2 linked regions of the Danio rerio genome follow. Each later gene encodes a partner of the first gene's protein in a complex. Links are inferred from orthologs where the notes say so. Each region holds a gene or a part of one and is shown on either strand. Other genes may lie near its edges.

Evidence for each region.
Region 2: gtf2e2 (region 1) and polr2g share a complex: the UniProt entries of both Homo sapiens proteins name them as parts of the TBP-based Pol II pre-initiation complex. The link is inferred for Danio rerio from reciprocal best matches to the Homo sapiens genes GTF2E2 and POLR2G.

The regions. Positions count from the first base shown.
Region 1 is NC_133176.1:24,437,963-24,441,792, forward strand, and holds part of gtf2e2 (transcription initiation factor IIE subunit beta), read left to right. Parts: intron 1-1,280; 5' UTR 1,281-1,281; coding exon 1,282-1,444; intron 1,445-3,026; exon of another isoform or gene 3,027-3,635; coding exon of another isoform or gene 3,636-3,830. Other genes in the region: smim18 (small integral membrane protein 18), read right to left, coding at 3,636-3,830. UniProt on the Homo sapiens protein: Recruits TFIIH to the initiation complex and stimulates the RNA polymerase II C-terminal domain kinase and DNA-dependent ATPase activities of TFIIH. Both TFIIH and TFIIE are required for promoter clearance by RNA polymerase.
Region 2 is NC_133189.1:30,990,271-30,994,886, forward strand, and holds the start of polr2g (DNA-directed RNA polymerase II subunit RPB7), read left to right. Parts: upstream 1-1,754; 5' UTR 1,755-1,866; coding exon 1,867-1,878; intron 1,879-1,988; coding exon 1,989-2,098; intron 2,099-2,177; coding exon 2,178-2,337; intron 2,338-3,674; coding exon 3,675-3,725; intron 3,726-3,825; coding exon 3,826-3,891; intron 3,892-3,972; coding exon 3,973-4,044; intron 4,045-4,153; coding exon 4,154-4,187; intron 4,188-4,322; coding exon 4,323-4,336; 3' UTR 4,337-4,616. UniProt on the Homo sapiens protein: Core component of RNA polymerase II (Pol II), a DNA-dependent RNA polymerase which synthesizes mRNA precursors and many functional non-coding RNAs using the four ribonucleoside triphosphates as substrates.

The sequences.
Region 1 (3,830 bases):
TCTAAATATGCAGTCTCTGGGTCATTGCATGCAGAGTATATTCTTGGACACTTTTAATGCTTCTAAACAGTTTGCTTCATGTCTTGAGGTAGTTCAGTATGCATTAGACATTAATCACACTGCTAATTTTTCTAATCTCCATAGACAGGAAATAATAAAGTAGTTATTGCAGCTTGAAGAAAAGTAGTGGAGTTAAAATACCAATACAGCGCTAAAAATGTACTCAAGGAAAAGTAAAAGTTCACATTTTTAAAACTAATAAGTTAATTACAATTTCTTAAAAAAACTACTCAATTGCAGTAATTTGAGTATTGGTAATTTGTCACTATAAACCACTGGGTTTCAATAGTTCATGAATTTATCCTTTTGGTTTTCATCATGCTAGACAAACAAGCTAAGCCTGTCATAAGATATATGTGGTATAGCAGATCCTTGATTGTTTTTAATACATTGTCAGCATCATTTATGAGCAATTTCAGCGTTTTGGATCTGACATTTGCAGTAAAACACTCAAAACATACATTCACGTGGAAGGTATATGTTACCATTATATCGAAACATCCGTTTATATTTTCCAGAACAACTGACCACAGAGTTATGAAAGCAGAAAAATATCAATCTGTAAACACGTTTTGTACTTTAAATGAAGAAAATAAACGGGTTATGGATGTGACCAAAAAAGTCTGTACAGTATACAACATACTTTAGAAATTCTGTGAATTAAACTGCACAACCCAAAACAAATAATGATAATCAAAAGAATAAGAGTTGGCTCTCTGTAGAATAAAAATGAGAGATTTTAGTTTATTTAATATTTTCACATTTATGAGGAAAAAGTGTCGATATGGATGTGACATTTCTCCGTTTTAGATGAGACAGATTTGAAATTGCCACTTGTGTGACTTTGATAAATCAAATAAAATAGTTTGTAAACATTGACAGATACATTTTTGAGTTTTTCTAAAGTACTGTAAAATACTTGCTGGCACAAAAAGCTTAGAAATGTTTTCAGTATTTTGGTGAAAACTTAATTTAATTCAGGGTTGACAGTTGCATGGAATTGCTAGCATGGACTAAAATAGATATCAATTTGTATAGAGTAGTCAACATTTGAATTGTATCAAGAATGTTTTTCACAGACAAGAAAGGTCTAATTCAGTAGTTTTAGGACAATTTGTATGAAAGGTTTGGATTCGCTTCACTTGGATTTGTACTGTTGACTACGTTTAACAGTCAGACTATGTGTTTATGATTTTAACTATGTGTTATGATGTGTGCAGGATGGATCCAGCTCTGCTGAGAGAGCGAGAGCTCTTTAAAAAGAGAGCTTTGTCAACTCCTGCAGTAGAGAAAAGACCAGCAGCCTCTGAGGCCTCTGGATCCTCCAAGAAGAAAAAGAGCAAACCAGACAAAGAGTCGTCATCTTCCTCCAAAAACAACAGTGGTAAGTGAATATGTGGGTGTTTATTAAATCTTTAGAATCAACTCACTTCTCACAAAGTGCTTGGGCATAACTTTTTCTGTTTCATTAAAAAGTGCACTACTTTGTAATACTAATGTGCAAAAAAATCTGTTGTTTTATTTAACAGAATTATTATTGAGGTAATGTTGGTTTTATAATCGAACATTTCTTCAGTGACCACTTTGAATATTTGGTCTGAAATCGCATTTACGTATGATTTCAAAACAACATTAGCAGTATTTAAATGACTCTGAACAATTTTGTACTGTAATAGCCATTGTATGCTAATAAGATTTCCCTATTTAGAATTTGCAAAGAATACTTGTCTGAAACTATATTAAGGAGAAAGTCAGAATTTGCGAATTTAAAATCTTTACCCAAACAGAATTATTGCTTTTATTCAAATGCAGTCAGATATTGGATGTGTTTTTACTGTAATGATTTGTAATCACAAAACAACCACAAAACATTTCTATTTCAAATAAATGCAAACTTTCTGTTAAAAAAAATCTCTGGACAAGAAAATACGCATATGATAACGATTTACAATTTTTTAACATTATAAATTTATGATGAAAAAAGGCTATTCATTTGAACTTTTTTTGATTAAAGAATCCTAAAAGTGAGTTGTATCACAGTCAAATCTTGTCAGCACTGATAATTATAAGAATCATTATAATTGACTATAGTAGGACAACAAATCATTATATTATAATGATTTCTGAAAATGATAGCTCAAGTAATGATGATGAAAATTCAGTTTTTAATCACAAGAATAAATAAAATTTGAACCTACATTCAATAAGGAAATTATTGTTTACATTTAAAAATATTTGTTTACAGAAGACACAGGAAATGCTTAAATATTATTTACAGGATATACAAGAGTTACTTTATTTAGAAGAGATACTGCTTATTTTCTACTTTCAATATGAAAAACACTAAAAAACGTTTATTTTGTTTTCAAAAGTGAAAGTTATTTATTCGTGACTGTTGGTTTCAGGCATGTGTGTCTTAATTTAAGTTGTTCAATGTTGATGTTCAATTAGTAGTCATAGATAGTTTGTGTTTCCTTCAATTATTTTTAAATCATCAAGTGATGCACCCTTCATTCACAAATCTCTCACTTGTAATATGTGAGCATATTTACTGTACAAAACTTATCAGTGAACTATGAGGGCAAAAAAAATAAAAATAAATAAATAAAATAATCATTCATTAATCCAAATAGAGTTCAAATGTTCAATTTATCAAGATTTAAATTTTAGGCCAAATCACCCAGCCCTAATATTATGCAGGCGTATATCAGATAGATTATTGATTATTGGATTATTGATCACTCTGGCTCTCAAGATGAGTTGTCCAGAAATAATGTCATGCTTCATTTTCTTGAGTGAGGTTCAGCAGCTGCACTGCTTAATAGAGTTCAGTCTAGTTACTGTATATAATAGGAAGAACAGTGTTCAAGGACAGACCTTTATAATTTTATTGAACATTAAAACTTTTTTTAAATGTAATTTCATCAGCTTGTAATATCTTCTGTAACCTTATTGGGAACCACACATTTCTTGTGCTTGCATGATTTTTTATTATGTAATTTTAAATACACAATTTTAAGGCATTCACAAAGATGCAATAATAGGCCTTTAGTGTGCTTCTTTATATAGAACTATTTTAATACATAAGTATTCACCTATAATAAATCTGAACATAAACAAATAGAAACATTCTTTTCAATCCAGCTGTATATTTGCATCAGGTAGTCAAACCATACTGTATTTAGCTTAGGAATTCCACAATACTGATATGTAAACTGTTTTGTCATCCCACTCAATGGGATAAATTCATGTAAACACGTCTAAAAAGAAACAAAAATCAACCGTTTTATAGAGTCATCACACAGTAGCATTGGAATACTCAGACTCTATGCGGTGAAAACATTGATGTACACTCACAAGCAGATTTTTAGCCTCCATTTCTAATGCAAATCTCATCTAATATTTGAAGCCGTCGAGACACCTGTGTCGTGTATTGCCATTGGATCTAGTGGGAGTAGAATGCTTCTGTCTCTGTACATAACTGGCGTGTTTTAAGGGGCTCCGATCTGACGAAGTGCCTTTTCCACCAGTCTACTGTTTTGGTTCCTATGGAGACCTTGTCACCATGGCTACAACTAAACCACCTCGTCGTGCTGTCGGCGCAGGTCACGAACGGTTTTGGTTTTGTTGAAGCATCCACAGTCCAGCAGCTCATAGAGGAACGCCAGTGTGGCGAGGGAGAGGATGGTGAGGATGAAGAGCAGGATGATGATGAAGCAGGCCACGTTCCAGCCATCATGGAAGGGATAGATCTGCTGCATCAGAGCCGA
Region 2 (4,616 bases), on another chromosome or scaffold:
TTTAGGTAGTTAGTTATTTAGTTATTTGTTTATTTATTTAGTTATTTGTTTGAAGATCACACACACACACACACACACACACACAAAGATATATGTATGTATGTATATATAGACTATGTATGTATGTATATATAGACAATAATATAATTTAGGTTTACATAGTTGCTAGTTGTCAAGATACCTCTGGATTATTGAGAAATAGACATTTTATTCGTCACTTGGATTCAACAGCACTAAAACTTTAATGTAAGATATTGGTGCAAATATCACTCGCTGCTTCGATAGAAAATGCTTTTTTAAACAACAAATACAGAAATGTACAATAATATACAAAAATATATGCCAGAGTGTACATAAAAAACCTTCAGTAATTAAAAATCGTATATTCATCTAGAAAATGCTTTCAAGTTCCTATATCTGGGGAATGATGACCTCACAATGCAAAAGTTTAGAGTTATAGTGACCTCTTGTGTTCGTGTGTTGTTTTGCAGGCTGTGTGTAAACGCTGAACACGGGTCAGCAAACAAAGTGGTGCGTTTACAATTGACTGAGTAAAATCGGATTTAGTGGAAACAACGATGATGTTATTGCTGGTTATTGGTTCAAATTAAATTACCATAATCTTAAGACAACATCGAAATTGATATCACTGTGTGTTCAATGTTTTAAAAACACAAATAAAATCGTTCGAATCTCATTTCACTAGTTATAGACCATTTCAGTGTGGTCATGTCTTTGGCCCATGAACATTTCCTGCTTGTTATCAAACTATTTTATAACTGTATCAAGAAGCAATTCAATCATAACTTAATATTAAAACAGCTATCATAACATTATTTATTAATATGTGTCTCTTTTTAGATTCTTAGAAGCTATAGAAATGTAAAACAGGAAATACGTTGGGACCATTGTTTTTGTTCACATCCCTCAAAATGGTCTATAGGCAACCATTCAGTTTGGAAAAGAACATGTTTTCTATTGTAAATAAGTTCTGCATTATTGATATTCATTCATTCATTCATTCATTCATTTGTTGCTTGCTTGATTGAAAAATCTCAAATTATTAAAAAATGCATGTTACAAATATTTATATTCTTTTAAAATGTATTTAATTATGTTTTATTTGCATGGCTATTAAAATTTAAGGACATTAAAAACGTATACAACATTGGGTCATAGCAAAAAATCATGCAAGTTGGGTTATTAACTGTTTATTTTATTTTTATTTTTTTTGTTACGTGACAATCTTAAAAGTTAAAACAGAAGCAAATGTGAACAACAAGATATCTGAATTTACTGTGTGGTTTTTAAAAGCTTTATTGTGTCCACGCCAATAGCCAATATATTTTGAACATTTAGCCTACTATTAGCATTTAAGCAGCACATACTCAAAACTTGCATATTCTCATTTTTAAAGAAAATGTTTTGAAAGAAATATACATTTTGGGCCTGACTTCAAAGGTTTTGATTTTCGAGGTAAAATGTCTGCAAATAAATAAATATCACACATAGCATTAAAAATCATAATGTAATAATCACTCATCTGGTGAAGTAGCTGCTAATAAATATGAATTCATTTATTTTTCATCTGCAGTGTCTTACCTTAATAGGGAATCTTATAGACAAAAACAGTTGAAGTGTCTACATTTGTATAAAAATAAAATTCTGAATCCAGAATCAACGCACACTAAACTAGCAGGGACTTTATTTCTAGGGAATCTTAGGGCTTTTAATTTGCAGTCGTTTTCACCCGGAAACATTCGCGTGCTCGCGCTGTCGAGATTCGGCGCCTGAACGCACTGACATAGAAAGTCGTGGCTGTAGAGTTTTAATTCAAGACTTTTGGAAGCTAAAATACAATAAGAGATGTTTTACCACGTAAGTCAGTGGGTGTTTTAGTTTTACGTGATAAGTGAGTTGCAGCACTTATAAATGTCCGTCAATGTTTTCTGTGCTCACTGTTGTTTACACGTTGTTTGTCACAATAGATCTCTCTGGAGCATGAAATTCTCCTCCATCCAAGATATTTTGGACCCAACCTTTTGAACACAGTCAAACAGAAACTGTTCACTGAGGTTGAAGGAACATGTACTGGAAAGTAAGTTAACGTTACTTCATCAATAAATGAATGAACGTTATGAGATCTGACTCTCTAATGCTCGTGTGTTGTTTCCCAGGTATGGCTTTGTTATTGCAGTAACCACAATCGATAATATTGGAGCAGGGGTTATACAGCCGGGCAGAGGTTTTGTGTTGTATCCCGTCAAATACAAAGCCATCGTCTTCCGTCCCTTCAAAGGAGAAGTTGTGGATGCTGTTGTCACTCAGGTTAACAAAGTACGGTTTGTGTTTTTATTTTCATACAACAGTTACAAAAATATAAATATAAAACATACATTATATAGAACATCAGTACGGGATAATTAATACTTATTAAAACAATAATGCTCAAACAAGGTGTTGTGTACATAATGTTTTATTATTTTCTAATTGTTCAATAAACTGGAGACTATTATTGTGCTTATACTATGGTTACTAGACATAAATGTTCAGGTCAGATGATTTAAATCGAGACATTTTTCAGATTTCTGTCCTCAGACAGCTCACGTGTGTAATACTTATGTAGTGTCATAATTATCTTAGCCAAAGCCTTTAGTTTTGATTTTTAAATGTGAAATAACTGTAACCATTCATCGTAGTGATGTGGAACTAATGCAGTCAAGACCTGCCTGGAACTGCGAAAGCAGTGTGCTTATTTAAAAATAATTGAACACCTTAAGTTTCACCAGCCAATCAAAATCAAGCCCTGTAGTATAATTACCTTTGTTTCAGACCCTTGGCAAATGGTCCTCAGAGCTTTTATATAGGCATAAGGTGTTATCAGATTTTCTAGTTGTGATAATTACTGAAGCTTTTATCACAATCTATGGCATTCTCAAAATATTGACTTAAGCAGTTACAAATTAGTTTTAATAACAAATAAACACTACATTTTGTGTATTGCACTTAAATGTTCACAGTTGACAGATTTTCCTAGCAAAATAAACTGTAAAAGTATTTCAAAGTGCCATGGGTAACACTTTACTAAACAATTTCATTTGTTTTAAATGTCAGTGTTAGTCTTGAACAATATAACTGAATGTTATTAGTTAATTATTATTCGTTAAGAATTTTACTTAACCTAGGAATAAAGAATAGGAAACGAGTTGAACCAATGGTAATGAACAATAGGTCTGTAAATAATCTAAACATTTTCAGTCGATGTCATTGGCCAGATTCATGTAAAAAATGTTTGCTTGCAAATAAATAGTCTATTAAATTGTCATGTTATTGACACCACTACCGATACAATAATCTGCTTAAACTAAAATGTTTTCTAATACTATACAGAAATAATAATTCAATGTAATTTTGAAGTGTCCATGATACCAATTTTAGGATTGTTCATTATCAGGATATATTGCAGGGAACCTGGCACATGTTTAACCGGCACTTCTAAGAGTAAAAAAAAAGCCTGCACTGGCAAAACAAAATGAACACTCGAATTGCGGCTCCTGACAATACATTTGTCTTACAAAGTGAAAGCTCAATCTCTACATGACACTGAACATTAATTTTTCTCTGCTACAGATTTTTCCAGTGTTCAATGCATTTTTTATTTCTTTTTTTCCCAGGTTGGACTCTTTACAGAAATTGGCCCCATGTCTTGTTTCATTTCTCGACATGTAGGTTTTCATGGTAAAATATATTCGTGTATTGGTAAAAGACATGTGTAATTGTCTTAAATCTGTGTGTGTGTGTTTTTTTTTGTGTGTGTGAATCTAGTCTATTCCCTCTGAGATGGAGTTTGATCCAAACTCAAATCCTCCATGCTACAAGACAGTGGATGAGGTAGGATTGAATGCTTTTTGTTTTGAAAGTTGTTCTTTTTCAACAGTTTTAAACACAATTTTTATTTTTTTTTTTTAACAGGACGTTGTGATTCAACAAGATGATGAAATTCGACTGAAGATTGTGGGAACTCGTGTGGACAAGAATGATATTGTAAGTAAATGCCAGTTTTCTCGAATATGTCGATGATATAAATCATTTTTTCAATGTTTATTAACAGTTTTTAATGACTTGTTTTGTCCTTTTATTTATTTTTTATTAGTTTGCCATTGGATCTTTAATGGATGACTACCTGGGTATATGTTTTCTACGATTTAAGCTTGAAACTATACTTATTAAATTGATAACAGAACGTTTTAATTAAGTCTTCTTTAAATAATTTCTGGTGATGATATCAAGCTTTTGTCTGAACATGTCTCTTATTCTTCTAGGTCTTGTGAGCTGATTCCTCTGCCGTGAATATGGGAAATTTGAGAGTTGTTGCTGTGGTGGTGATGATACTTAGTTTGTGTATATACTGTAATTATTTCCCTATTCATTTAGATTAGTTTTTCTTTTTTTCCATTTTCTGTTTTTATTGTCTCCTTTTATTAAAATGTTGGTAGTACAGTTTCAAGTTCAAATTTGAAACCAGATGAAGTCGAATGGGAACAAAGAGTAGCTCAGCAGTGGCTCTACATCACGTGTCGAACTCTGTTTCTGGAGGGCCGCAGCTCTGCACAGTG